Linked DNA regions of Canis lupus familiaris. The protein of the gene in region 3 purifies or fractionates together with the protein of the main gene of each other region. This does not show direct contact. Links are inferred from orthologs where the notes say so. Each region holds a gene or a part of one and is shown on either strand. Other genes may lie near its edges. The genes, in order: CDC37, HSP90AB1, FYN, PDGFRB, CD36 and SKAP1.

Region 1 (5,155 bases), on a different chromosome or scaffold from region 3:
CTCACCGAGCGGCACCAGGAGAAGCAAAGGAGATTTAAGTCAAAGTAGACAGTCCAGAGCCATGCTGGATGCTCGGCAAGCACCATTCCCGTGGTGGCGACTGCCATTACTATCCAAGGGGACAATCTCTCTCTCTCTCTTGACCATTCTGGGGCTCAAACAAGAAAGCATACTTCGAGTGTTTCCATCAATTTCCAACCCAGAGCACATGCTCAATACCTGGGAGTGGTTGTTACCGCACTGTCACATCACCCAGCTCCACCGCGTACTGGTGACGTGACCTTGGCTAAGACACTTAAACACTTCTAGCCTTGGAGTTAGTTCCTCTTTGGGAAAAACGCAGCATCAAAGGAGTTACTCCCAGGAAACTGCACGCAGTCCTACGTAATGAACACATTCCGCTGTTAGCGTCACCATCCTGGCCACTGGCCCCAGAGTGGTTCACTCACTCACTTCTGGGCCTTCTCTGAGGCTGTATCTCCAAGTTTGAGCAGAGTCAGGCACGCAGTAGGTGAGAATGGGGAAGCCTTGAGCCTTCTCTAACTTAGCCCCACAGGACTGCTGACAGTCCAGAGTCTCACTTTCCCCAGCTGTGTCAAGGCCGAAAGGGCCCTTGCCTCCTGGAAGAGTAAGAGAGAGGCCTGGGGCTCTGCCATTTTCCCCTCTGGGGCCTGGGGTGCCCTGGGGGCTTCCTGCTGCGGGGCTCTCTGGGGTTGGCATTCTAGCTGGCCTCGGGTGGCAGCAGGAGCCTACCACCCTGCTGGCTTCTGCTGGGTGGCCACTGAGCTCTTCTCGATGTCCTCTGAGTGGCCGCCAGGGAGACTGGAGCTAAATAAAGGCCTCCTGGAGCTGGTGGGGGCGGCAGCCTGCCCAGCACGGGCTTTCCACCTCTGGGAGGGGCTGTGGCAGCCTGGGTGTGACAGGGGCCACAGCAGGAAGCTGGGACCTGCAGGTGTCACCACCTTCCAGCCTTACAAAGAACCTGACGCTCACAGAATCACAGCGCCATAGTTTGATGAAAGGAGTCCCAAGAAACTAGTTTAACAGTAGCTGTATCTGGACAAGGGAGGTGGGGCTGGGACACTCCCTTGTCTCTTTCTGGCACCTCTGGAATCTTTCTTTCCCGGAGCACGGATTACCTAAACAATAACAATGACGGTAACTGCTAAAGTTTACAGAGAGCTTATCACGTGCCACGTGCTATCCTTAAGGACATCACACGTACTCAATAGAGTAACCTCTCATAACAACCCTATCGGGTGGATACCCTTAATATTCCCAACTGGGGAAACCAAGGCACAAAGAGATCAAACAACTTGCTGGAGGTCATGCAGTAAGTCAGTGATTCAGGAGCCAGGACTGGAACCCAGTTGTGCAGGCCTGTGCTCAGAAGTGCAGCAGGCTACCTTTTTCCTAATCTTGCCTCCCCCTCCTATATGCTTACTCCCTCCCAGGCCCGGAGCCAAGTTCTTGTCAGGCCTAATCTCATTTCATTCTTCGGATGGTCTCTAGGGGCAGGAAAAGTAAAGCAGTAAGTGGTAGGGCTGGGATTAGAACCCAAACTTGCCTGTCACTGAAGCTGGGGCTAGAGATGCTTCTCTCCCCTCCCCCCCGCCCCACCCCCACCTGATTCCACTACAGCCATAGGGTCCTCAGCAGGACAAGAAAAGGTTCTGTTCCAGGAGGGAGGAAGGCAGGGTCGGGAGAACTCTGCAGGAGAGGGGGCACTGGTTTCCCACCCAGCAGGACCAAAATGCTCTCCACATAGCTGTATAGATTAACCTCTTTATGTGACAAAAGTAGGTACTCCCAAGAACAGTCTTTAGAGCTCTGTGTTGAGTCTTAAGCATTTCATAATAAAATGTTACACATGGCAAAAAATGGAAGTGCTAGAACTTTCTTCTTACATTCTCCGTGGCTTGCCTGGTAGGTATGTTACCCAAGAGTGCTGCTTTAAGGTAAGGGTTGGAAATGGTACTGGAGACCAGATGTAGGGACTAAAGACACCACAGGATGGGGAAGGGCCCTTCTAGGAGGTTCTGGATAAATGACTGGGAGTTGCCATATGCGAGGGTGGAGTGAGGAATTCCTAACTGGAAGGTTCTGAGAGGTATACGCCCTCAAAGTGAGAGTATAACACGCACAAGTATGTGGGTGTAGAAGCTCCGATTTGGGGGAGCAAGAGATTAGAATATTAAGTCTTATGAGAGCTGCTCTGTTGTCCTGTGAGCACTGCTGGGCAGGGAGATGGGACAACAAGCAGACAGGATTCTGGGATCTGGATTTGGGGGCAAACAGACAAAAAAAGAAGGGGCAGTAAATCTGGAATCAAATTGGGAGGGTCCTTAGAGCAGGCACATGTGGGTGTCTGAGAGCAACAGACCAAGCTGGGGTCAGGAGGAAGGTTGGGTGGGTTTGGGTGCTGGACTTGAGTTGGTAGAAGGCATTCCAAGGCTGCCAGAGGCTTCTACAGGAAACTGTTGGGGGTGGGTGGTGCCTGGGCCTGCAATACCAAGGAGGAGCAGGGGCTCTGGAGGGGCCGGAAGCCCTGTGGGGCAGGGTTTCCTGGTATAATGAGAAACAGGGTCCACAGTAGGTGACGCTAAAGAGTGGCTGGAATTCGAGACTCCATCAGGGGGACCTGGTGGTCCGGTTTGGGCAAGCGGGTTCCAAAACTCCATCCTAGATGAGACCGAAGGCCCTGGTGGAGCATCCAGCTACGTTCTACAGAAGGGGTCCGGGTATGGGTTGGACTCTCAAGCCAAGAGCAGAAACCTCAGGGGAGGGCAGGGTTCCTTGTTCTGTTTGGAGAAGGAATGGGAATCCCTGTCAGGAACCAGGGAGGAAGATCTCCGAATAAATTCAAAGCACCGAAGACTCTAGGATTTGGGGAGGGGCAGATGGTACATCCAAGATCAGAAATGTCTCCCGGAACAGGATCAAGAGTCCAGCTCCGAGGCAGAGTTTTGCGTGTTAAGTGGAAGGTCCCAGAAAGGATTGGGGGGACACCCCCAAAGCTTCTCTTAGCAGTTTAGACTCGGAGGAAGGTGCTCTAAGGGTCAACTGGGAGCTCCACGCAGAAATCGGAGGGGAGGCCGGGGACCTCTGGTAGGGACTCAGCGCCCTGGCAATTCTGAGGTCTGGAGTCGAATCGAAGAACCCCAAGCGGTACTGAAAGCCCAGACTATGCGCTGGGAATCCCAGGTGTCAATGGCGGGGTCCCTGGCAGTACTAGGGGTCAGAACTCTGGAGCGGAGTCCCGGGCGGGGGGGAGGGGGGAAGGGGACGGGCGCGCGCACCCTACCTGGTGCCGCCAGCGGAAGAGGCTGGCCGTGTCGATATTGGGGTGCGTCTCGTCCTCATCGTCAGACACCTCGATGTGGTCCCACACGCTGTAGTCCACCATCTTGCCTCGGCGGCTCAGCCCGCTCCGGCTCCGGGTCTGACTCTGGCGGCGGCAGCGCTGGAGACTCGGCCTGCGGAGCCCCGCCCCTTCCGCTTCCGCCCTGGCGCGCACGTCCCCGCCCGCGCATGACGTTACATCCCTAGTAACCGCGGTGGCGGCTGTGGAGACCCGGCTTGCCTTAAAGGGTCCCGCGCACGTGTTCCGGCCCCCGGGAATCCCGGCAAAGACCCCGCCTCATTGGGCACCTCGTGAGGGTATACGGGCTGGCGTTCCAACCTCGAGCCCCCCTCATCTCCAGCTGTCCCCCCGGTGCGCGTTTGCGGCGGCCTCGGGAGGCGGGGCCGATGGCGAGACTGTAGCAGAGGATTGTCCCCTTAGCCACGCCGCAGTGACGTCAGCCGGAGCCCACTGCAGGGGCGGGCTTCGGCGCGAAGACCTGTCCCTCTGCCCCTGGAGAAGAGGACCTAACCCTGTGCTGGGGAGGGGTGTCTGATGAGAGCACTTTCCCAGTCCTGGGGTACAGAGCCCTTCCCAGGAAAGTTCTAAGTGGAGGAGGGACGTGGCTCCGCCCTTGGGGGGTCGGCTGTGGGGGCGATGTGGCCCTGCCTTGGGAGCTGGTGTTTCCCTAGCTCGGACCATTCTCCCCCTCGCGTCCCCGGCCTGTGACATTCCTGAGCCGGGATTCGCGCACACACGCCCCCTCTAAAATCACCCAGATCCACCCCGGCTCCTCCCTACCCGCCCCCGCCCGAGTCAACGGATCTCGGACTCCTGTCCGAGGCGTCTCCCCGTGCGGCCGCTGGGTGTCACTAATGTCTAGCCAAAGGGGGCCTTTGCTCCTGGCCCCGCGCAGCCGGGGGGCTGGAAGGGGATCGTGGAGGTGCGGATGGAGGCTTTCCTCGTGGTGGTACTCTAGAATCGTTCGTAGCCCCTCCCCTTTGGTCTGGAGCCCCCTTACTCCGCCGGGACTCTAAAGACTCCATTACTGTGAGCTTGGGTGACCCCAGCTGCACACTTGCGTGCATCCCCACCCTCGTTTTGATACTGGGATAAAAGGCCGTGTTGCAGCCTAGGGCCAGGATTATCTCAGATTAAAGGGCGTTCCGTGGGGGCGGGTGGGATGGGAGGAGCTCCAGCCTCTCGGATGAGGGGCGTTTTACCCAGACTACCCCCCAGAAGGTGTTTGCAGAGAGCGGGCTGGAGGGAATGGATTAAAGGGCTCAAAATGGGGGGATTCCCCAGCCCAGGGAAGGGGAGGGGCCTTCCGGACAAAAGCGCCCGCCCGCTGCCTCCCCTCCCCCTCGAGCATCTTTCAAACCCGCGAGTGGGCGGGCGGGGGCGGGGGAGTCCCCCCTCCTCCCCCCCCTCCCCCTTGAGCCCAGGCAGTCCAGCATCTCTGCGGCCGTCAAGGCCCGGGCGCGCGCGCGCACGGACCCACACCCCAGCGGGTCTCACAATCGCGCACACACACATACACACACAACAGCAAACAAAGGGTCTGGACACCCCTGTCCCCTCCTGCCCTCAGGCCGGAGAGGGCGGGGCATTCCCTCCCCAGCCCCTCTCTGCAAGGTAAGCTTCGCGGCTGCGAGCTGCGGTGGGGAAGGGGACCCGGCACCCCGGAGGGAGGGGACCAGGACGCTGTGGGGTTTCCCGCTCCCCGAGAAAGCCGAGGCCCTGCGGTACGCCCTTTGGGGCCGGCCTCCCGGCTGTGGATGTGTGGAGAGGACCCCAGATGCTAGAGATTCC
Region 2 (3,773 bases), about 56 Mb from region 3:
TGCCTGTGGAGTCCCCTGTGCAAAAAGTTTGAAGGGCCTGAGGGGTGACACGGAAGAGGACCCTCACCTTACGATTTTCCTCTCTTACTGTAAACTTCTGAGGCGGTCTGCTCAAGGGCAGTTTTTTTCTCAGTATCACAATCAGCTCTGCAGGTTGGGGTTGAGTCCAAGAGGCAGCCTTCTCCTTTGCCTTAAGTCCCCCGTTCTCTAGTAGGGATTCTTCTGAGCCCAAGGGTAGAGGACCGTCCTCCTCAGTGTGGAGGGATGCTGAGAAGACAGAGGGACCTTCCAAAGCCTCCACCCCCTCAAATTCCCTGAAGTCTTGCCCTATGGGCTCCAACACCTCACCAGTGCTTGTCCCCTACCCTGAACAGCCCACCCTTGCAGACTCCCAGAGACCTACAGTTCTTACTCTGGTGAGAAAAGCACAAGTGTTGTAGGCTCCAAGTGCTGCTTTCCCAGGAGTCCGTGAAAGCGGGTGCTGTGCTGGAGGAGGGGGATGGGAGAACCCTGCCCAGTGATACCACCCTCTGCTCCTGGATCCCTAGGTTCTGCTCAAAGAGCCAGTTGCAGGTTTTGGTACCTTGGAAATGTAACTTTTTGCTCTTATAATTTTATTTTATTAAATTAAACTGCTGCAATGGGCTTTAAAGTCCGGTGTTTTGGTTGACTGAAGTGTATGCTTTAGGAAGGGGACGGATATAAAGGGCATGGTGTTACACATGCTGGTCTGAGACTACCCTTTAGAAGCAATGTTGGGTGACTTGAAAAGTGCTAAATGGCTATAGGGTGACCTTAGTTTTCAATGTACCTGAAGAATGACCAGGTAAAGCTTGGGATAGAAAAGCTAAGGAAGGGATCCCTGGGTGGCGCAGTGGTTTAGCGCCTGCCTTTGGCCCAGGGCGCGATCCTGGAGACCCGGGATCGAATCCCACGTCAGGCTCCCGGTGCATGGAGCCTGCTTCTCCCTCTGCCTGCGTCTCTGCCTCTCTCTCTCTCTGTGACTATCATAAATAAATAAAAATTTAAAAAAAAAAAAAAAAAAAAAGAAAAGCTAAGGAAACTCAAAAAGCAGCAGGAAATCCACTTTACAAGGGAGAGCATAACTGTATAAAACCGTATCTTCTTTATTTTGCATACTTTAATCTCAGAACAAAATAAACAAACACCACAATACACATCCAAACCCCTTGTCAAATGTCATGAGGGCTAGGGCTTAAGGCCCTTCTGTCCTGCCTCTAACAAAGACAGGAGGAGAAAAAAAAAAATCCACTAGACATCAGCAGAGGGAACCAGGTGAACCGGGGCCACTCAGGGCTGCTGGGGAGCCATGGGGACACTATACAGAGGGCACAAGGTCTGCAAGGAGAAATTAATCGACTTCTTCCATGCGAGAGGCATCCTCATCACCCTCAAGTGGAGGGATCTCATCAGGAACAGCAGCACTGGGTTCCTCCGCTGCCACTTCATCTTCATCGATGCCTAGAAAGTAAAAAAGGCCTGTGAACTTTGATCCAAATACCAGTAAATCATCTTTGTCCCCCATGAGACCAACTCCCCAGTTCCTTGGCACACTCTGGTAACTGGCACCCACCCAGGCCTAGCTTGATCATGCGGTAAATGCGGTTGGAGTGAGTCTGGGGATCCTCCAGTGAGAAGCCGGAGGAGAGTAGAGCTGTTTCAAACAGTAGCACCACCAGGTCCTTGACAGCCTTGTCGTTCTTATCTGCCTCTGCCTTCTGCCGCAGCGTCTCCACAATGGGGTGGTCAGGGTTGATCTCCAGATGCTTTTTGGCCATCATATAGCCCATTGTAGAGTTGTCCCGGAGTGCCTGGGCTTTCATGATCCGCTCCATGTTGGCAGTCCAGCCATAAGTGCTAGTCACGATGCAGCAGGGTGAAGATACCAGCCTGTTAGAGATGGTCACCTGTAGACAATTACAGAAACTCCCATTGATGGTGCATCAGATTATCATTTCCAGGCCAAAATGACTATATGTTAAGTTCTATTTTTTTTAATTCTTTTTTTTACATTTTTTTTATTTATTTATGATAGTCACGGGGGGGGGGGGGGGGGGGGGGGGGCAGAGACACAGGCAGAGGGAGAAGCAGGCTCCATGTACCGGGAGCCTGACGTGGGATTCGATCCCGGATCTCCAGGATCGCGCGCTGGGCCACCCAGGGATCCCTATATGTTATATGAGTTCTACTCAAAAACTCAAAGCTAGAGATGCCTAGGTGGCTCAGGATCTGAGCATCAGCCTTCAGCTCAAGGCGTGGTCCTGGTCCTGCATCAGAGTCCCTGCAGAGAACCTGCCTCTCCAGGTCTCTGCCTCTCTCATAAATGATTGAAATCTTAAAAAATCTGGGATCCCTGGGTGGCTCAGCAGTTTAGTGCCTGCCTTCAGCCCAGGGCATGATCCTGGAGAGTCCTGGGGTTGAGTCCCACAACGAGATCCCTGCATGGAGACGGCTTCTCTCTCTGCCTGTGTGTCTCTCATGAATAAATAAATACAATCTTTAAAAATAAATCTAGGGATCCCTGGGTGGCGCAGCGGTTTGGCGCCTGCCTTTGGCCCAGGGCACGATCCTGGAGACCCGGGATCGAATCCCACATCGGGCTCCCGGTGCATGGAGCCTGCTTCTCCCTCTGCCTGTGTCTCTGCCTCTCTCTCTCTCTCTCTATGTGACTATCATAAATAAATAAAATTAAAAAAATAAATAAATAAATAAAAAAAATAAAATAAAAATAAATCTAATTGTGTAATGCCACAAGATTCTGAGAGCACTTGTTTACAAGACACATGCCCTACTCCCAGAGTTGCTCACCTTTTCAACCTTCTTATCCAAGATTTCCTTCATGAGTTTGCAGAGATTCTCGAACTTGGCCTTGCTCTCCTCCATTTTCTTCTTCTCCTCTTCATCCTCAGGCAACTCCAGGCCCTCCTTGGTAACTGAGACCAGACTCTTCCCATCAAACTCCTTGAGCTGTTGCACGCAGTACTCGTCGATAGGCTCTGTCATATACACTACCTCGAAGCCCCGTTTCCGCACTCGCTCCACAAAAGCGGAGTTGGCAACCTGCTCTTTGCTCTCACCTGTAGAGTTATGGAGTGTGACTCGGGTCAGAATGTCGCCTCCTGCCAGTTCCCAGAGATTCCCAAATGTCCTCCCTCCCTTTCACCCTGAGAGCCTTTGATCAGACCCAAGCTCCAACGCACCAGTGATGTAATAGATGGATTTCTGAGTCTCCTTCATACGGGACACATACTCTGAAAGAGAAGTCATCTCATCTCCAGATTGGGAAGTGTGGTAACGCAGCAGCTCAGAAAGGCGGCGCCGGTTAGTGGAATCTTCATGGATTCCAAGCTTCCAGGGTAAGAAAAAAACAATTTTACTTCTAAATAACATTACCTTCTACGTGAATTAAAAAAAATCCTCCACCATGAATATTCAATAATAATCTGTTGCTTCTGTACCTTTAGGTTTTTAGAGAATGCCTCATAGAATTTCTTATAGTTCTCCTTGTCTTCTGCCAATTCAGAGAAGAGCTCAAGGCACTTCTTCACAATATTTTTGCGAATGACCTTCAAGATTTTGCTCTGCTGGAGCATTTCTCGGGAGATGTTCAGGGGCAGGTCCTCGGAGTCAACCACACCACGGATGAAGTCTGTAATCGACCAGGAAGAAAACAGTTAAAAATGAACTATGCAAGATTATGTAAATTTAATAGGACCCATTTTCTCACTGAACCTTTACTAGCCATGTTAGCT
Region 3 (4,617 bases):
AAATCCTTACATGTGCAGGCACTTTGAGTATGTCGCTTAAGCTCAGGGAGATATTCTGCTTCATTTCTCCCAAATATTTCATTAGAATCCATATAAACTAAACCTATCCAATGCCCTAATCAACGAGTACTCCAAGTCCTGTTAATTTTTCACTTTTTCATTAGTGCCCAGGATGAATCGATAGGTATTTCTTATTGCCACTTTCAAAAGATTGCTTTTTTCTCGGTGCTAAAAAATTATACACAATTTTAAAAAAAAAAAATGAGTGTGCACAGAGCAATAGTTGAGGTCAAGCCATGTACTATTTTGGGGTTTTGTTACTGTCCTGAAGAACAGTATATAATGTGTATATATATATATATATATATGTATGCATATATTATGTGTGTACACATAATACACACACACACATATACAGATCACAGAAAAAACTACAGGGATCAATGGGACATAGATCTGTATATGCATGTGCATCTATGTAAAAATCCACCTGTGTGTATATGTTATGTGGTGCGATAGCCTTGCTAATCTTAGAAAGTAATCGTTTTGACACTTGTATATAAGACCATATTCTTTACTAAAATGTGCGGACTGTACACCTAAATACCTCATAAGCATATATTTCTAGGAACAACACACTAACAGTGACCTCTGGGTGTTAGGACAGCGACTGATCTAGTTACTGTTTGTAAGCTGGATTTAATACAATAGCTATAACAGATCTAGGAGCTGTGGGCCACACAGTCTACATCTAGTTAGGAAATAGCCGAAGTGGTGGAGGAGTGGAACGTGATAAATGGACTGCAAAATGCATCTGGTCATGGGAATGAAAAGCATGTGCAGCCAGTCCCGTGAGTGCTGAGTGTGAACTGGGGACCCTCGACAGGAGCCCCCCCGCCCCCAACCGTGAGTTCCCTCCCAGACACTGCTCCCTCTCCTGTCACGGTTTCTGATTACAGACCCAGGGGAACAGGAAAAGATGACAACATTTACAATTTAACCTATTGCTTCGTACTTGAGAACTAGAATGTTTTAGAATCTTTTGACAAATGCGTGGAACTAATAACAACCATGGTAAAAAGACATCAACAGAACCTATTCAGCTAAGCCCCACCTTGCCTGGCTGCAAAGAAAACTATGCCACTGCTGACCTTGCTCATGCTTGTACCTCCTCCCCGCCCGACCTCCCTAGGAGCCTCCCGTTCCCTCCAGTGTCCCGGTGGTGAGTAGCTAGAGTCAGGGTTACCTGAGTAATGTTGTACAAGCTGCTGAAGTGTTTCAAACTGGGCCCGGGTGGTAATATAGTATCCACCATTGTCAAGTTTGCGAATTTTATAATGTTTGACATGGTCTCCTTTCATATCATCCCAATCTCGGATCGACAGTGAATAGGCACCTGGTAAATATGCAAAGCATTAGCAGCTCCAATAATTTTGAAAGCTCATTTGTTTTTTGGGTCTCACTTACCTGACTATTCTGATTAATCAATATGAAGAGAACACACACACGCATGTGTGCATGCACGTTTGCACATGCGCATCTGCACACATGCAAATGTGCATGCACACACACTCTTCCTACTCAGTAACAGAAGAAGAAAACACATCTTTCTTGCAAATGCCAGAAGTTATTAGCAATTAAGTCATTTTATCCTTGAGAATGAAAGCGTCCTGACCCTCTTCAGTACCCTAGTGTTGCCTAATATGGTATTAGACCCAACTCCCCTGGGGGCGGATGAAGAGAAACACAGACACACAGGCAGGCTGGGGTCTCTGTCCTCATCTTCCTTACCCCTGGAGTGCTGCAGAGGCAGTGGCCACGTGTGTTGAAGAAGGGTAAGGACCGTTTCTCTAGAAGGGAGCCTTCAGATTCCACTTCACTGTCTCAGGAGCACATAACCATGGCTAGTAGATCAAGCTAGAAGGCCACTGCTCCTCCTTTCCCTTGGCCCAGCTCCCTTTTGTGGGCTCTGATGTGTGGGTGGTTAAATAATGGAAGGCCAGTGGTTGGAGGAAGAGCAGTCCTCAGATTTGAAAAAACAAAAGGAATGCAAAAATAACCTGTAGGATTGGTGCCTGAGGAACCACAAGCTGTAGAAATCAGTAACTCTAAAGAACTGCCGTGAATTCTATCATCTTGCATGTCTGCAGGAGTGAAGCTGCCTGGCCCCTGTTTTGGGAGAAAGGGCTTGATTCTGAGCCTCTACAGTTCTTTTGGAGCTGTCTGTGGTTCTAGAGCCTGGGGGGGAAACTGAAAATAGGACTCTGCTCACAAGGTGGGGAGGATATGTGCCATTTAAAAATCCTTGTACGTTAGAGAGAAGCCTTTTCATCTGCTCTGACTAATCCACAGATTTGAATGACAACCAAGTTCTTCAACTCCTTATCTTACCTTTGGTGGTTTCACTTTCACGGATAAGAAAGGTACCTCTCGGGTTTCCAAAGGACAAAAGCTGTCGCTCAGCATCTTTTCGGCCAAGTTTTCCAAAGTACCACCTTTAAATGAGATCAAGGGAAGGAAACATTTTGTAAGGGATCATTTACAAAACTGCAGTAGTGATCCTCCTCACCTCCGATCGCATCCCTAGCCTTTCCCCTTCCACGTTTTCCTAGCCTCATCTAGTTCCCTTTCAGTCTGCTCCCGATTCCATCCCTAATCCATCTTTTTCAGTCTTTGAAGAAAATAAATCAGATTGGAATCGTGGGCGATTTTCCTTCTCTTCCAGAGGTGACAAGAACTGGTTTGTGTTAACACTGCCACCTGCATTCACAAGAAGAGAAATCTAAGACCTTGTTTTGAAATGGCAAGTGCAGCAGACCCTTTCCGTGCATGTCTATAAGACCCTGGATTTCTGAGCATAATTACAACACCTGGGAAATAACGAAACTGCAGCCTTAGTCTAAGTAAAGATCATTAATCAAGCATTGAAAAAAAAAAAGTCAGGATGGATAAAGAACAGAAACGTGATATTTTCAGTAACTTCGTACCTACAGTGATTTTGGAAAAAAAAAAAAAAAAAGAAGCTGTCAAGACTACCCCTAATTTGAGATGACTGCTGCCTTTGGATGCTTGCTTTCATGCTCTTCCTGGCCAGCAGGTGTGAGGACTTGTGTAAATGGAAGATCTGCCCAGCAGATGGGTGGGGATCTGCGCATGTGTGCTCTGGCTCAGCTGCAGGGACAGGTCACTACACAGTCAACGAGCACGGCCTCACAAACGACTGGCTGTTGCAGCTGTTTCCTATCCTCCCCGTGACAACACCCTGGTGCCGTGTGAGAAGGCGTCGCGTCAAGTCACCTCACAATCTCTGCTGTTCATCTTTTATCTTCCCTTCCGCTCTCTAGCCCTAACCATGGCTTGGCAATTAGCTAACGTTTCTGCAACTAGCTGCTGAGGGAGCAGCAGCAGGTGCCGTGGGAATCCACGACAGAATTCAGGAGAACCCCGTCGGAATCTGTGCACAGACACAATTTTAGAATATTCAACTGTGAGAGGATCCAATTTCTAAAATGAAATTTTAATTCACTATACTTGAACATAGCTATTATGTGTTCACTGTCAAATTCTTTTGTGAATGAAGGAGCCTCGCTGAAGATAAGAAAAGACACACTCCAAGCGAGCTCCTCGGTGACTTTTAAAGGCACCAGACTGTGCAACAATCCTAACTTAGCGCTAGACGGTATAAAGAGAATCACAACAATTATTTACGAGAAATGACTTTCTGGGTTTGCATCGGTTGCCGGATGAAAACGCAGTATAAATGCAAATGGTGGTGAAAAGAGAACAGTTGGAACAATGGGCTGAACCAAGACAATAGCATTTTAAGATAATGGTAATTAATTGCCTATGTAAAGCCATAGGCGTTATCTTCTTAAGATGCTAATTTATTCTTTAAGAACCACGTATTTTAAAAACTGACCATTACAAATATAGCTTAAATATATAGTCGGTAGGTTCTCAGTTAAATCAAAGTATTGCCACCTTTTAGTGGTACCTTTTATTCTGAAAGAACGCACAGATGTTGGCAAATCTGCCCCCCAAAATAAAAATTCAATACAAATTCCTTTATTCTCTGATGATAAAACACACTCCCTAGGAGAAAAAACTGAGTATTTGAGAGTGGGAAACAAAACCGGTCTCCTTAGAGCAAATATAAAGGAATTAAAGGCAAGACAGTGATCCTGTTGGGAATTTGGTTGGGGTGCACCGTCTAATCCTCCCCGTCGTGCTTAAACAAATCCAGGGCAAAATGCCATATCAGAGCCAAAGGATGGCGGGCTTCGTGGCTGACTCTCCTTGCCCCCCTTACTGGTCAGGCAAGGCCACCAGAAGAGGCAGATGCCCAGGGTGTCAGGGAGGAGGACAGGTTCCCCGGATCTGGGAGTCATGGGCCAGTTTTCTTTCCCTCAGTTCAGAAATGAGGGTTGCCACACGGGCCACTCTCATTAGTTCTCCCTTTTGGAAGCGACCATGACTCTGCGCAGGCCAGGAGAAGGAACGATGGTTGTCCCCTCTAGAATGCCCTCAGCCTGCCAACCATCTTCCCAGACCGGTACCAGTGAAGTCCTTGGTCTGACAGTTAACTGCGAGTCACGATTTACCATCACAGAAACCAAC
Region 4 (4,617 bases), on a different chromosome or scaffold from region 3:
GCCCAGAACATAAAGTAAATAAAGGCAACTATTTCATATCAAGCTGCTGTTTCGGTCCAAATACAGTGCACTTAGTTCAAGTCAATCAGTGGGAACTTGATGATATTGATGAAAACAAAAGATTTTGAAACGGGTAATCTTGCGGACATAAATTGGCCTGAGTGTGCAACGCACTTCTGTATTTTCTTTTGGTTGCACAATACTGAGGAAAATCCCAAATCTCACAATAAGCAGCTGCAAACAATGATAATACTTCTTTTTTTTTTTGTTATGGCCTAACTTGCCATCAGAGCCTCAAACAAACACACCGGCTGGAGGGACGTTATTCTATGACCTGAACAGAAGCGGAATAAGCCAGCATGCTGGCGCTGGTCTCCAGATGTGGGGATATAACTCACCTCCCAGGGGGCTGGGGTTTGTGAGCTTGTCAAATGTCTTGTGAAAATTTAAACACATCAGAGGACCCCTGAGTTTGGAAATGGCCAGTCTAAGGAGTCCTCGGGCCTTGAAGGTGCTGTGATTCCATGAGTTTGTAAAGCCCACCCCTCCACCTGGGTCTGTGAAATGAGGGCACTGGACAGGCTGCGTGCAGACCCTCCAGCTGGAGTGTCCTGTCATCTGTGGACAGAGGGCCAGGGGAGGGGCCGGCTTAGGCTACTGGCATTTTCCAGAATGCTCTGGGGGAGTGGTTTTAGTACCTCCTTTGGTGCAGGCCCCCAGCAAGTTGACCACATTTAGATGGGGCCCGAGGTGACTCATGATCTTCAGCTCTGACATGAGGGCCTGCTTCTCGCTGCTGCGGGCTGTGGCTGAGGGGGCAGAGATGAGGCCTCAGGCTGCCCTGTTGCCAGGGCCCCAAAAAGGCCCTTTGGCCCCACCCTGTGCTGTAGGACTCCCATGGCCTAAGGTGGCAAGGGCCCACGAGTAGGGGGAGGAGAAGGAGACAGAAGGAAGGTCAGGGAGGGAAGGAGGTACCAGGAAGGTGGGCAGGCAGCCTCTTAGCCAGAGCAGAATCTGGAGTGGGGCTGGCCTCCAGGTGGCTGCATTGCTGTGGCCAGCAAATCAGAATCAGGGAGGGCCTGAATGTGTGAGCAGGGGGCAGGGAGGAGGTGGGGGCCCAGATGTGAGGAAGCGGCAGGCTGCCAGGACTCACATTTCAGCATCTTGACTGCCACTTTCATCGTGGCCTGCGAATGGCTTAGGCCGTGAGCCGTCGCCTCCACCACCTGCCCAAAGGCCCCAGAGCCGAGCGTACGTCCTATGGTGGAGATGATCCGTCAGCACCTGGCCCACCAGGAGTCTGCATCCCTCACTCTCTCTGAGATCAATCCTCGAAGCCAACCTGGACTTAAAGTGTTCCCCTCAAGGAGTCTCCTAAGTCCACAGTGTTTTGCAGCCCTTCCCTGCAAAGTCTCAGCTGACTTAGTCTTAGCTAAGTCCTGCCTGCTTTCTGGCCCATCTGCAGTCCCTGGAAGCCTTCCTCCCACCCCGGAAGGGAACTCAGCTCCTCAGCGTGTCTCAGCCTTCCCAGCTAGACCAAGCACAGGCTTGACATGCAGCCTGTCCTCGATTAATACATCTCTTGCCACAAAGGGCTCCTATGTCACAGTCACAGGACCATAGGACCTCAATGCTGAATGGTCCCTGGGGGATCATCTCGCCCCATTGTATGGAAGGAAGGCAGGACAGGAGCCCTAGGTCTCAAAGCTAGTCATGGCAAAGCTGGGCCACACCTCAGTCTTCCCACCCGCCTCAAGTTCCCAGACTGCCACACAGGGACACTCTGGACTGACCAAGCACGAGCTGGTCCCTCGGCAGCTCCCAGGTGGAGTCGTAGGGCAGCTGCATAGGGTCCACGTAGATGTACTCATGGCCATCGGAGCTCACGGATTCAATCACCTTCCATCGGATCTCATAACGTGGCTTCTGCGGGACCAGCACCAGGGATGGATCACCACAGGAGGTCTGGGCTTTGAGGCCCACAAGCCCATAGCCCCTTATATAACAGATGCAGCACGAGACTCTGAGGCCCAAAGAGAGGCAGAGGCATATTTGAAGTCACAGAGCAAGTTACTGATAAAACCAGCCTCATGGGCTCAGTGAGAACAGGTGGCAAGAGGCCTCAGCATGACCATGGCTGAGGAGCAGCTAACAGCCAAGGGCCCGGTTCATCAGAACTTCCTCATCTTGGGGCAGCCCAGGTGGCTCAGCAGTTTAGCGCCGCCTTCAGCCCAGGGCCTGATCCTGGAGACTCAGGATCGAGTCCCACGTCAGGCTCCCTGCATGGAGCCTGCTTCTCCCTCTGCCTCTTTCTCTCTCTGTGTGTCTCTCATATATAAATAAATAAAATCTTTTTTAAAAAAAAAAAAAAACTTCCTCATCAGCTTCTCCCAGAGCCCCAACTGCTTCCCAGATGGAAGTAGAGGGGTGGGCAGCCCTGAGAAGTGACACAAGCTACGGGCACTCAGCTAGGTCTGGACAGCCCTCCCATGCTCGGTCACTCGCAGTGGATATCTCAAAAAGATATAAGCTTAGGATGTTGAAATCACAGGATGTTGGAATCACAGGATTGGAATCTCAGAATGATAGAATCATGGGTGCTGCAATCCTAACTCAGGAATCTTAAAATGTTGGGATCACAGAATGGTGAAGCCTCTCTGAACAGAGCACTGAAATTACAGGTTAATAGGATTAGAATGCATTTCAGCAGAAGCCTGGGAGTCTCGGGGTGAGAGCTGGAAGAACCCTGGAGCCCATGTAGTCCACCCAGAAAGTGCCTTGCCCTGTGTCGTGGCAGGGTTGGGGACAGGGCTGATGTCCAAGCAAAACCTGGGAGGGCAGAGCAGAGGCAAGGGACCTTGGAGGGCCCGGACCAGGCCCAAGACAGCCTCTCCTGCTGGGGGTGGAGGCAGCTTGGACACCCACTGGCACTGCACGTCATTTTACACCTGCCTTCTGTGCAGGGCAGGGAGGTGGCCGGGTCCTGTGACACTCAAGGACAGTAGGGGGCTCCATGCAGAAAACCTAGAGTGTTAACCTGCACCCATTAGTGGGGATAGGAGGTTACCTTTTGCCAGAGCATGATGAGGATGATGAGGGAGATGATTGTGAGAACCACCAAGGCCAGGATGGCCGAGATCACCACCACCTTGAAGGGCAGAGCTGGAGGCAGAGACAAGAGCTGACCGTAAGGAGACAAGGAGCTTGGCAGCTGCCCCGTGCCCCTCACCCCCCACCGTTGGTACCGCAGATCCTCTCTGCCTGTCCTGCCCGGGATGGAAGCCTCCCTCCACCAGCCACGGCCTGTGATGTCAGCCCCTCCGTCTGGGCCATACCTTCAGCCTCTGCCATCAGAACCCACACCCCTCAGTAACAACTGCAGCTCAGATTCTCTGGGCCCCCATATGCCTTCAGCCTTTGCAGGGGTCAGTCTGGCCAGTCTGCCATGGCTCCAGATTGGATGCCAGCTCCTGACGACTGGACTCGCCTCGCCTCTGAATCCAGGCCCTTGCCCAGGGCTGTCACAGCCTGTGACTGAGCTCCCACAGCCTGATGGATACAGATCGTTTCCTCCTGGCTTCATCCCAAGCACCCAGGGGTGTTGGAGTTATAAGGTGCATCCCCCAGGGAACAGGGGTAGCCAAGTGGGGCTGACTCTGGGCCCCATGCCCCAAGTCTCTTCCCTAAGGCCTCAACCTCTTTGCTGCACAAGTTCCCTTTCTCTTCCCCTGCCTCTACATCCATCCCAGCCACACCCTCATCTCCCCTTCCCTGCCCCTGCATCTACCCCAGCCAGATCCTCATCCCCCCTACTCTGCCCCACTGGCCACCCATGGGGTCCCTGAGGACTTCGTTCCCTCTTCCTCTGTCCCTCACTTGCCCCTCTAAGCACCCCTAGAGGCCCTGTCCCTCCTCCTCAGGGCCCCAGAACAACTCCTCTCCTCTCTCCCCACTCGGTCACACATCCCAGTCCTGGGAAGGAAGTCTGAAATTCTAAGGAGCCATCTGAATAAAAGGAAGAGACTTCGTGCAGCCACGGTAGTTTCCCTGTGGGCTGGTACATGCCCGCCTCCTCCTGTGACACAGAAAAGCTTTACTTCTGTCTTGCTCGGGGCTGGTCTGCAGGTGCCCACTTGCCTGAATCCCACGGCTGGGCATGGAGCCCCTCCTCCCTGTAGGTTTTCCCCCCCAAAGTACTGCCCCCTGCAGTGGGATTGCCTAATTGCTTGTCTGCTGTTGCTCTGGACTGTGGGCACTAGAAGGGCAGGCAGGGCTTGGCCTTCTCCAGTGAGAAAGAGGAAGGAGAGAGTCAACGAAGTACAAGCACAGGGGTGTATGCATGCATAGGGACTGGCAGGCAGCAAAAGCATCCAGGCGCTGGTGGACACATATGAATATATGCATGTGTACCTGCTCGTAGATCTGCATCGTACAGCAGGCATCTGTGTGCAGAGACTGTGTTTGCGGGCTTTCACGGAAAGGTGTGCTGCAACTCCATGCTTACAGACATGCGCTATGCCAGTTGGCACACGTGTACAGGAATTGAACATGCACCATTTGCACTCTTGTGTGGGGATTGTTCATCTGTACATACATGCACATAAACATACCCTCATG
Region 5 (4,617 bases), on a different chromosome or scaffold from region 3:
ATTTCATTTAACTTCTGAAGAGGAAAATATTTAAATAAATTAAACTGTTGAGCTATAGGAATTTTTAATTAATTTTTCTTGACACTAAGTATAATAGATCTTGCCCCGAATTCACATATACCCATAAAATCTCTCTCCCTCTCTCTCTCTCTTTTTAAAGATTTATTTATCTGAGAGAGGGAGAGGCAGAGGGAGAGAATCTTCAAGCAGACTCCCCAGTAAGCAAGGGGCAGGCTCCATCTCATGACCCTGAGATCATGACCTGAGCTGAAATAAAAAATTGAACGCTTAACCAACTGAGTCACTCAGGTATCCCATGAATTATTGTTTTATGCTTATTTTATACATATTAAATTGTTTTAAGCCAATTAGAATCATTCCTATCATTGGTATTCCTGACTTAGGAACCATTAAAAAGGCCTATAAAGTTCCATATGATGAAAAACTAAAGTTTAATGACCTTGATATTTCATAACCAACACAAGAAAGAAATCAATGTAATTTTCACTGAAATAAAAGTAGTAATTTATCAAGACTGTGAGTCAATAAATGATTAACAAGAGAATTTATTTTTTCTTTCAATTTAATGAATCAAATCAGATCAATAATATATTTGCTTACAGGTTCAACATCTAAGTATGTGGTATGTTCATCTTCATTTGGACTTAAGCCTTCAATAGGTTCTCCAATATCAGGACTTGCATGTAGAAAATGAGGAAGTGAAATATACACAGGTTTTCCTGAAAATAAATTTAAAAGATAATTTGGGATAAAAAGTTTTCCTCATTTCACGTACCACTAGGAAAATAGTTCCTTAAAAATATAACTTTTTCAATAAAAGAAGACATAACTGGGCTTGAACACTGATGGGGGAAGAAGTTGTATGATCTGATCACTATTGTACAAAAAATAAAATACAAATCTCTGCATCATCCAACTAATGTCAATTGTTTTTCCTGAGGTGTTCATTTTCAATATGTAAAATGTAGCTGCTGAGCACAAAATTTCAACCATTATGTTCATATTTCAGTGAGTAATATATCTGTGAACTGAGAATTTAGTAGATTTTCTTTTTCCATTCACATTCATCCCAATATGAAGGAGGTGCACTAAACTAGATGGACTTCAAATTGTATTTAAGTCAATTCTTGTTTCAGAGACATACTGAAAACATATATTTTTTTATGATTTTATCTTTATTTATTCATGAGAAACACAGAGAGAGAGGCAGAGACATAGAGGGAGAAACAGGCTCCATGCAAGGAGCCTGATGTGGGACTCGATCCCAGACTCCAGGATCACAACGTGAACCAAAGGCAGACGCTCAACCACTGAGCCACCCAGATGTCCCTGAAAACATATTTTTATTAATCAATTTCTAGGGAAGAAAAAGCTAGAAAAATGGCAGACGGATAAGTTGGTATGCTCAGAATATCCTAGGAATTATTTTTATCTTACCTGAAAAGAGCACGGGAAACCAACAAAATGAAAGGGCTAACTATGGAATGGTTACAACAAACCAATATCCAATAAGTAGTTAATATCAAAAATACACAATGGATTCATAGAACTCTAAAAAAACAAACAAACAAACAAAAAAACACAAACACCACACAACCCATTTTTAAAAAATGAAATAAGGCCCGAAAGAGACATTTACGAAAATAGAAGGGAAAACATCAGTATGGTTTTACCTAATAATAACTAAAGTTTCACAACATTGACACACAATTTGGACCTGAAAAGCAAAACAACACTTCTCTACCACCACTTGCTTTCTCACTTTGATTTTAAATTTTGGTGGAAAGGGATCTTGGGTAAAGGCTGCATTTCAGACTACTGCAGATTATATAATGGACTGTGGTACTGAGAACACTTACCTTCTTTGCATTTGCCAATGTCTAGCACACCATATGATGTGCAGTTATTTGAGATAACTTTTTCTGTGCAGAAACAATGATTATCTGGATTTTGAAGTGGAGATGCAAAGGCCATGGATGGAAGAACAAATCTATAGACAGGAATTCCTTTCAGGTTAATTTCAGCTCCAAACACAGCATAGATTGACCTAAACACAGATAAGAAAGAACTTTATTCCAGGAAACTGAACTTCATTCTGGAGATTTTTTTCTTTTATTTTTAGATTTATATTCTTGTTAGAATTTTAAACTCTCATGTAATTCACAGGAAAAAAAAATCTTTGTGAAATTTCAGGGCATACCAGGACATACAATAATTCGAGTAAGAGCTCTTCTTACCTTTAGTCTCAAAAGCTTCCAAGAGCAGTTTTTGTGAACTACCATGGGAATTTATACTGAAGACATTTCTCATAGTTAATTTCCTCTATGCATTAAATATTTATATGACTTCCCTCAAATCCCTGTTTGTGCCCACTTTACATGAAATACAATTAAAATTTCTTTCTTTCAAAATTTAATCCTGGAGGGAAGGCCACGGACTCACTGGGGCGTGTGTAGGTGAGTTCTTGATACATAGATCTCATTATTTCCTGTGCACCCCCACCATTTACTGAGTACTCACCCATACCTAGACAATGTGCTGGGGATCAATACATATTTCTTCTAATTCCCACATAACCCTATATGAAGAAACACTGCTCTCTTCAATTTTACTGATAAGGAAAACATTGAGAGATTTCAAATGTTTGCCCATAATGATACATTTTTTTTTTTCATAATGATACATTCTTTAGGAACAGGGCAAGGACTCAAGTGGACTGCCTTGGGCTCCAATGCTTGTGTGATATCTGCTGGACCCACCAATCTTAAAAGGGGCAGTAGTAGCACTAGAGCTCATTAACATAGTCGGTGACAATGGCATCATTTTCCCTGGACATCATTAAAAAAGATGGGCATGTCCTAGACGTGACTGTTATTGAATATAGTTCTAGTGTAGTAAAACAATAAAAAATAAAAAACGAAAAAATAGCTCTTACTTAAAAATGAGAAAGAAAATAATTTGCATTCTGTATATTATCCTTCTGCAGCCCTCAATTTTTATAAAAGTTAATAAGCACATTATGAGTTCCATATTGTACTCTGAATAAATCCAGAAAAATCTCCCTATGTGTACTTTTTTCTCCAGTAACATCATTAAGTATGAGCTTCTTGGTCTGTGTTTTGTCACTGGGGGAAAAAAATTCTGACTCACGGAACTACATCAGTGTCTTTGTCTTACCTGCAAATGTCAGAGGAAAAGAAACGCAATACTCGTGTCTTCTCTACAAAAGGTGGAAATGAGGCTGCATCTGTTTAAAAATCAAGCCAGTGACAAGGGATTAGATGTAATGTGTGTCCTAGAAAAACCTAGACATCTCTATTCCAGTATAATCAATAGAAATATAAGGCACATTGTATATGTAATTTTTAAATTCTTCAGTAGCCACATTTTTTTAGAAAATAAAAAGAAATGGGTATATTTGATTTAACCCAATACATCTCGGGGAACTTTGGTGGCTCAGTGGTTGAACCTCTGCCTTCAGCCCAGGGTCCTGGGATCGAGTCCCACATCAGGCTCCCTGCATGGAGCCTGCTTCTCCCTCTGTCTGTGTCTCTCTTTCTCTGTGTCTCTCATGAATAAATAAATAAATCTTAAAAAAAAAAGTCTCAAATGCCATTATTTCAACATGTAATTGATATAAAAATTAACAAAATCCAGTGTGTATTTTACATTTATAGCACATTTCAATTCACAATTCAATTAAGCACATTTCTTAATTTCTTCAATAGCATCATGTGGCCAGCAGCTGCCATATTCAATAAGTCCAATTTATATTCATTGGTATTTAATTTCATATTAAGTCTTCCCACTCCTTAAAAATAAATGAAAGTTTACAAAAATGATGCCAAAGTCACATGTTTTTAAATGTTAGTTTTTGAAATCCCCCACCTTCTCAGTAGTGTGGCACTTTTCTCACTATGAAGTGTCTTACCGTGAAGTTCTCTTAGAGCTTCTGTTAGATTTATGTTGTCCTACTTTTGATAGTGATTCATTCATCTGTCCTAATGGCTGATTAATATTTTTCTTTTAAGATTTTATTTATTTGACAGAGACCACAAGCAGAGGGAGCAGCCGGCAGAGGGAGAGGGTGAAGCAGGTTCCCCACTGAGCAGGGAGCCCAATACGGGACTCGATCCCAGGACCTCAGGATCATGAGCTGAGCCAAAGGCAGATGCTTGATTGACTGAGCCACCTAGGCACCCTAAATATTTTGAAAGTCATTTAGTAAAATTCTCTCACTAACCAGAATTTCCCCCAAATGTATTGAAAACCTATCCATCACACACTTGGATATATGAAGAGATAGCTAGATAACTCTTGCATTTGCTTCCCAAGTCAGTGTCACCAAAACGAGCCACACCACTGAATGTGTTTGTATTTGTTGAAAACAGGAAGACCCATCCTTCAATAATGCATCCTGGGTTCTGCTTCTGCTTAAATGCCTCAACCTTGTGATCTTGTTACATTTCACTTATACTCTGTGATAAGTGAAATATAATAGAAGATCACAGTGGACTTGATCCTGGCAGTAAGAGAACTGGATCCTCAAGGCTAGTTTGAACTACTCAGGACTCTCAGTGGACACAGTCTACACCT
Region 6 (5,081 bases), on a different chromosome or scaffold from region 3:
CTGTTCCTTTCTTCATTATGCAAAATTTTGGCATAAACCTTTCATAATGCTTTGCATATTTTATTTTTAAAAGCACACATATTATGTCAAAAAACACCCCTGTCATTTCTGTTCATGTAGTTATAAATAAATAAATGCTTAAGTTATGGCCGTGATGGCCAGCGTTAAATCACCATGCGAATGCTTATGCCTTGGTTTATGAAAGTAGTAATTCATTGTGGAAACTCCACCCCCACAACCATGTGGCAGCACTAAAGTGGCAGCTCTCTCACCCTGTGACTTTCTCCACTGAGTGACAATATAGAGATCAGGACCTACATATTTTCTAATTGTCAACAGTTAACCTTAAAAAGTGTGTGTGGTGGGGAGACAAGTACACAGCAACAGACAATAAATTGAAAGTCATTATGGGTTTCTAATATCCACAGATTATTTGTAGTATAATGAATAATTCTGTTGGTCTACACCAGAGACTATATATCATTAAAAAAAAACAAACCTATAACCAATGTGTTATGATTACATGAACCTTTCAAAAACATAGTCCTCAAACATTTTTCAATAGAATTATTGGTTGGAATCCCCCCTCTCCTTCAGATTCAGATTCTAATTGCAAACTTTAAAAAAAAGGCCTTAAAGAAATACATTAACCAACGAAGCTCCTTAAAATTTAATCTCAGACTCCTCTATAGATTCTAAAGACCCAGGCACCAACACAGATTGTTAAGACACAGCAAGTTTGACACAGAAGTATGTGACATGCAATTAATCTCCATTCATACCCTGCTCTACTTGTCAGCAAACAAAGGTTCTGCTTTAGAAGGAGATCTGAAGACTTCAATTAAAAACAGTCAGCTAACAAGAAAATAATCTAAGCTAAAGGAAGGTGGCAGGTACAGAAATGAGTTGTTTACCAAAGTGTCAGTTTTGAACAATAAAGAACTGCACATCAAAAATGTTGAAGGAGTGTATTTCATTGCAAGCCTCTGAAAATAAAAAAGAATTTCCTACTAAAGCTGCACACAAAACGGAAGTATAGTTTAACAAGCTGGTAAAATAGGTTTCCTCTCATCAAATGACAGATACCAATAAAAATAATCACTTTATATTTTTAAACACAAGGGCAGAATTACATTTTTTGCCACAGTTCCTTCTCTCCCAGAAACCATCACACTTTGAGTCTCTCTTTACATTCAACATACAATATTGAACCAATGGCAGAAAGAGAGGCTGGATTGCTTCTTCTCAGACACCCAGATGATGCTGCTTCACCCTACAAATACTTTTCTACTCTGAAAGTTTAGATTTACTCGGGTCATATAAGTAAAGTGGATTTTGGAAACTTCACCTCAAAAGAAATACCTCGTTGACAGCTTTTACATAGAAGCAATCCAGAATGGAAACAGTGCTACAAACAGAGACCAAAAGGACTGCCAAATATTTGATTAGGAGGCATTTATACCAAGATAACAAGGTAATGGAGATATAAAACCAATTACATTGAGAGAAACTGAAAAAAAAAAAAAAAAAAAAAAACTCCTTGCCAAAAGTCTGACCTGCCCAAAGCAGGCCATCTGTTAAATATGTGTCAAAAATGTCACTTGGATGCCAAAAGGCTTAATTCAGAGTCGTTTCCTCCTGGGACGCTTATGCAAGGACAGATTCCAGGCCTCTGTCCTTCCAGGAAGGTCAGTTACAGGAAAGCAAATCACTTTTGCCAGAAAGCAGTGTGAATGGAGCTGGAGATATTGCCCATTAGCAAAAAGTCTCTTTCCAGTGTTAGAAGCATCTGTGGAGTGTTGCTGAATATGGCCTTAACTCTTAAAAGGACTGCTTAGGCACCATAGTTTGAAGGTAAACACACCAGTGTGGGGCATTTCTAGAAGAGTTAGAAACTTAATACTGCATCCACCTGCCCTGGGTAGACAGCAAGACCCGCAGAAGTCTGCAGGCTGGCAAAAGGAGGCTGGGGCCTTCGGCACCGACAAAACTCACACTTAGCCCCAGGCCTTGGCCAACAGCATCCCACGAGCCCCTCGAGCCCCTCACAGCCCCCGAGAGCCTCGAGGACCTGGAGCAAGAAGGTGAGGGGCTTCGGGGCTGGGGAGGGAGGAAAGGCAAAACCCCACAGGCGTCGGGGTACTGTCCCGAGGAGAAAGGGTCTGGCCAAAGACCATGCAAGGTCGCATGGAGGCCCCCCCCCCCTGCCAAGAACCTGGCCAGACGTTGTTCAGAAGCCTGGAAGGTGAAGTGGAGGGTGGGTGGAGATGCCTCGAGGAAGAAATAAAATGTGGGGACGCCGGGGTGGCTCGTCTGCCTTCTGCTGGAGGCATGATCCTGGAGTCCTGGGATCGAGTCCCACATCAGCCTCCCTGCATGGGGCCTGCTTTCCCTCCGCCTGTGTCTCTACCTCTCTCTGTGTGTCTCTCATGAATAAAATCTTTAAAAAGAGGAAAGAAAGGAAAGAAAAGAAAGGAAAGAAGAAAGAAAGAAAGAAAGAAAGAAAGAAAGAAAGAAAGAAAGAAAGAAAAGAAAAGAAAAGAAAAGAAAAAAAAGAAAGAAAAGAAAAGAAAAGAAAAGAAAAGAAAAGAAAAGAAAAGAAAAGAAAAGAAAAGAAAAGAAAAGAAAAGAAAAGAAAAAGAAAAATGTGGAACTGAGGGGGAGTGAATGGGACCCTGAGCGGACAGGATGAAATCTGGGTCTGCAGAGTTGAGGGTTCCAGCAGTCTTGAGGTTCTGGAAGGCTGTGGATGATGGAGCCGAAAAGAGAGGCCGGTCTTGGGAGCCCCTGGGTCTCGGCTCGGGCCTCCAGCTCTGCACCTGCGGGACTTCCCAGGGGGCCGGGAGGGGGGCCTGGGGCCGGGCCAGGGCGTTACCTTCCATGAGCCAACGGATCTCCTCGGGGAGGGCGACGGCCTGCATTTGGCCGGGCTGCGGGGAGGCCGGAGTGTGAGGCGGGAGAGCGGCCGTGAAGGCCTGGAGCCAAAGCCCGCGGGCTGGCAGGCGGCTGTCTCCGGCGGAGGCACCTGTACCTCTGTCGCCGCTGCTGCGGCAGCCCGGCCTGGCCGCAGGGCGGGGCCGCGGGCCCGGGGCGCGCTCAGGAAGTGGCGCGCGCGGCGGGCGGGGGGCGCGCCCCGGGCGGTGTTGGGGGGAACACCTGTGCGCGGGTGCCCGCGCCACTCCCGCGGCGCCCGCAGGTGGAAGCACTGGGGGGCGGGGAGCCGCACAGCCACCCCTTCTCCCCGCACCGGAACAAAAGACTAAACGCGGCCCAAAGGAACTTCATCTCCTGGGACACTTTCTACCCTAAGTACTGGCCGGTGGGCCTCAAGGGACGCGTCCCAAAGCCACGGTGGTGCCCGGAGTGGGGCGCGGAGCCGCAGAACGCGGGGAGGCCGTCCCCGCCGAGCCCCGCGGCAAGCAGTTCCCGATCCGGCTCGCACGTCCACGCCCAGAAAACGGGGCAGAACGTCCACTATCTCGGGCAAACCCCTGTCTCAAAGGAACGGCTGCAGGTCTCAAATAATAAAGCCACCAACACTGGGGAGGAGCGGAGCGGCGCGGCTGCAGCGGATACAGGGAGCCAGTGTCCCTCCCTAAGGCTGTAAGGATGCCAGGAAAGGATGGGGTAACCCCGAAGAAGGCGGGGGGGAGAGAGGACGCCAGCCTTTTGCCTCTAACAGCTGGCAAAGGGAGGAAAGTGAAGAACGGGAGATCACAGAAGTGTTCTCCTCCCCTCCTCCAAAATACAGTATGGGTCCCTATCCTGCTTGCGATCTGAAACTGTAGTATTGCAAGATGTTACCACTGGTGGAAACGAGTAAGGAAGGGGTAGAGAGGATCGCTCTGTATCATTTCTTTTAACTTCTGTGAATCTCAGTGACCTCAAAAACCTTTGTGGAGTTTTTTAAGCTCAATAAACCAAGTGCCATGAAAGCAGAAAGTGCCATGAGCGTAAAAGGAGGGAGACAAATATATTTTTTTAAAAAAGGAGAGAAGTGTGGGTGCATATGTGTTTAATGGTGCATATGACATTCAAGATGGGCCCTGAACACACCAGGCTTGGAAGGGGCAGGAGGGCTTTTCAGGTGGAAAGAACAGAATAAAAAAAGATGGAAAAACCTTTTGCTTGAGGAACAGCGAATAACCCTTTTACTGGATGGTATAGGGAAATCATGGCTGTCAAGAAAACGTGAAGTCTTATTGTAAAGGGACTTGAAAGTCAGAATGAGGATTTTGAACTCAACTGGGGAGACATTGACAAGTTTTGAGCTGTGGCATGTGACCTGTGTAGTTGTGTGATCTTGCACATTTCACATTTTCCTTCTTTATAAAAAATGGAGTTTCTAGTCTCAGATTCTTGCATACAACAAGAATATGTGGGAAGGATTGAAAGCAGTGAGGGAGAGAGAACACAGGGAAGATGGGTGAGTGGTTTTTTACAGCAGCCTCAGGGGAAAATGTTGATGGAACCACGGATTTGGGGATGGAAGCCATAAGGAGAAACTGTCCAGAAGGACAGGGAGTGGCACTGCCTGCCTCCTGGCATAGTTTCCCAAGGTTGGGGGCTTGATCCTTTAAGGGGTGCAGTGGCTTTGTAATGTAGGCTTGTAATGACTATCTTTACATGTCCACATCCTGCAATCTGAAGAGGAATGGTCCCTTGGTTCCAGGATCACATGATCCATCCACAAGTTGTAGCAAATTGGGCTGGGGGTGGAGAGACAGGGGCTGGGGCAGGAAGGGTGTCTCTGGGGACTCTGGCTCCTACTGCTGCTCCTTCTTGCTCTGGAAAAGTTAACAATAGACAAGCTGCCTTCTCTAGACTCGGGAGCAAATACCAGGTCCCTGCTAGGGCATTTTTATCATACTCAACTGCTCCTTCTATAGAATTGTAACTGCTCTCAAAGAATTTTTTGAGTACTTATGACGTGTTAAAAAGCCAGGGAGGATATACCAGAGCTCTCTGTACCTGCATGGTAATTTTTCCGTGAATCTGAAGCTCTTCTAAGAAACAGCAAGGGAAACAAAGTCCCTCCTCTATGTAACCCCAGCACTTTGTCTTGCTTTCCCTCTCAGCAG

The links.
Region 1: the proteins of FYN (region 3) and CDC37 purify together in Homo sapiens (affinity purification with mass spectrometry; 5 studies listed by BioGRID and IntAct, counting the BioPlex papers as one, with this or other methods). This does not show direct contact. The link is inferred for Canis lupus familiaris from reciprocal best matches to the Homo sapiens genes FYN and CDC37.
Region 2: the proteins of FYN (region 3) and HSP90AB1 purify together in Homo sapiens (affinity purification with mass spectrometry; 4 studies listed by BioGRID and IntAct, with this or other methods). This does not show direct contact. The link is inferred for Canis lupus familiaris from reciprocal best matches to the Homo sapiens genes FYN and HSP90AB1.
Region 4: the proteins of FYN (region 3) and PDGFRB purify together in Homo sapiens (pull-down; 3 studies listed by IntAct, with this or other methods). This does not show direct contact. The link is inferred for Canis lupus familiaris from reciprocal best matches to the Homo sapiens genes FYN and PDGFRB.
Region 5: the proteins of FYN (region 3) and CD36 purify together in Homo sapiens (affinity purification with western blotting; 3 studies listed by BioGRID). This does not show direct contact. The link is inferred for Canis lupus familiaris from reciprocal best matches to the Homo sapiens genes FYN and CD36.
Region 6: the proteins of FYN (region 3) and SKAP1 purify together in Homo sapiens (affinity purification with western blotting; 3 studies listed by BioGRID and IntAct, with this or other methods). This does not show direct contact. The link is inferred for Canis lupus familiaris from reciprocal best matches to the Homo sapiens genes FYN and SKAP1.

What each region holds. Positions count from the first base shown.
Region 1 is NC_049241.1:51,124,125-51,129,279, reverse strand, and holds the start of CDC37 (hsp90 co-chaperone Cdc37), read right to left. Parts: upstream 3,511-5,155; 5' UTR 3,407-3,510; coding exon 3,305-3,406; intron 1-3,304. UniProt on the Homo sapiens protein: Co-chaperone that binds to numerous kinases and promotes their interaction with the Hsp90 complex, resulting in stabilization and promotion of their activity. Inhibits HSP90AA1 ATPase activity.
Region 2 is NC_049233.1:12,851,589-12,855,361, reverse strand, and holds the end of HSP90AB1 (heat shock protein HSP 90-beta), read right to left. Parts: intron 3,671-3,773; coding exon 3,480-3,670; intron 3,370-3,479; coding exon 3,222-3,369; intron 3,099-3,221; coding exon 2,830-3,098; intron 1,929-2,829; coding exon 1,595-1,928; intron 1,483-1,594; coding exon 1,373-1,482; 3' UTR 1,104-1,372; downstream 1-1,103. Other genes in the region: SLC35B2 (adenosine 3'-phospho 5'-phosphosulfate transporter 1 precursor), read left to right, coding at 1-32. UniProt on the Homo sapiens protein: Molecular chaperone that promotes the maturation, structural maintenance and proper regulation of specific target proteins involved for instance in cell cycle control and signal transduction. Undergoes a functional cycle linked to its ATPase activity.
Region 3 is NC_049233.1:68,550,662-68,555,278, forward strand, and holds part of FYN (tyrosine-protein kinase Fyn), read right to left. Parts: intron 2,496-4,617; coding exon 2,392-2,495; intron 1,397-2,391; coding exon 1,247-1,396; intron 1-1,246. UniProt on the Homo sapiens protein: Non-receptor tyrosine-protein kinase that plays a role in many biological processes including regulation of cell growth and survival, cell adhesion, integrin-mediated signaling, cytoskeletal remodeling, cell motility, immune response and axon guidance.
Region 4 is NC_049225.1:59,864,684-59,869,300, reverse strand, and holds part of PDGFRB (platelet-derived growth factor receptor beta precursor), read right to left. Parts: intron 3,163-4,617; coding exon 3,068-3,162; intron 1,927-3,067; coding exon 1,794-1,926; intron 1,259-1,793; coding exon 1,154-1,258; intron 810-1,153; coding exon 699-809; intron 1-698. UniProt on the Homo sapiens protein: Tyrosine-protein kinase that acts as a cell-surface receptor for homodimeric PDGFB and PDGFD and for heterodimers formed by PDGFA and PDGFB, and plays an essential role in the regulation of embryonic development, cell proliferation, survival, differentiation, chemotaxis and migration.
Region 5 is NC_049239.1:20,646,219-20,650,835, reverse strand, and holds part of CD36 (platelet glycoprotein 4), read right to left. Parts: intron 3,269-4,617; coding exon 3,199-3,268; intron 2,069-3,198; coding exon 1,881-2,068; intron 741-1,880; coding exon 622-740; intron 1-621.
Region 6 is NC_049230.1:24,648,974-24,654,054, forward strand, and holds the start of SKAP1 (src kinase-associated phosphoprotein 1), read right to left. Parts: upstream 3,085-5,081; 5' UTR 2,922-3,084; coding exon 2,876-2,921; intron 1-2,875. UniProt on the Homo sapiens protein: Positively regulates T-cell receptor signaling by enhancing the MAP kinase pathway. Required for optimal conjugation between T-cells and antigen-presenting cells by promoting the clustering of integrin ITGAL on the surface of T-cells.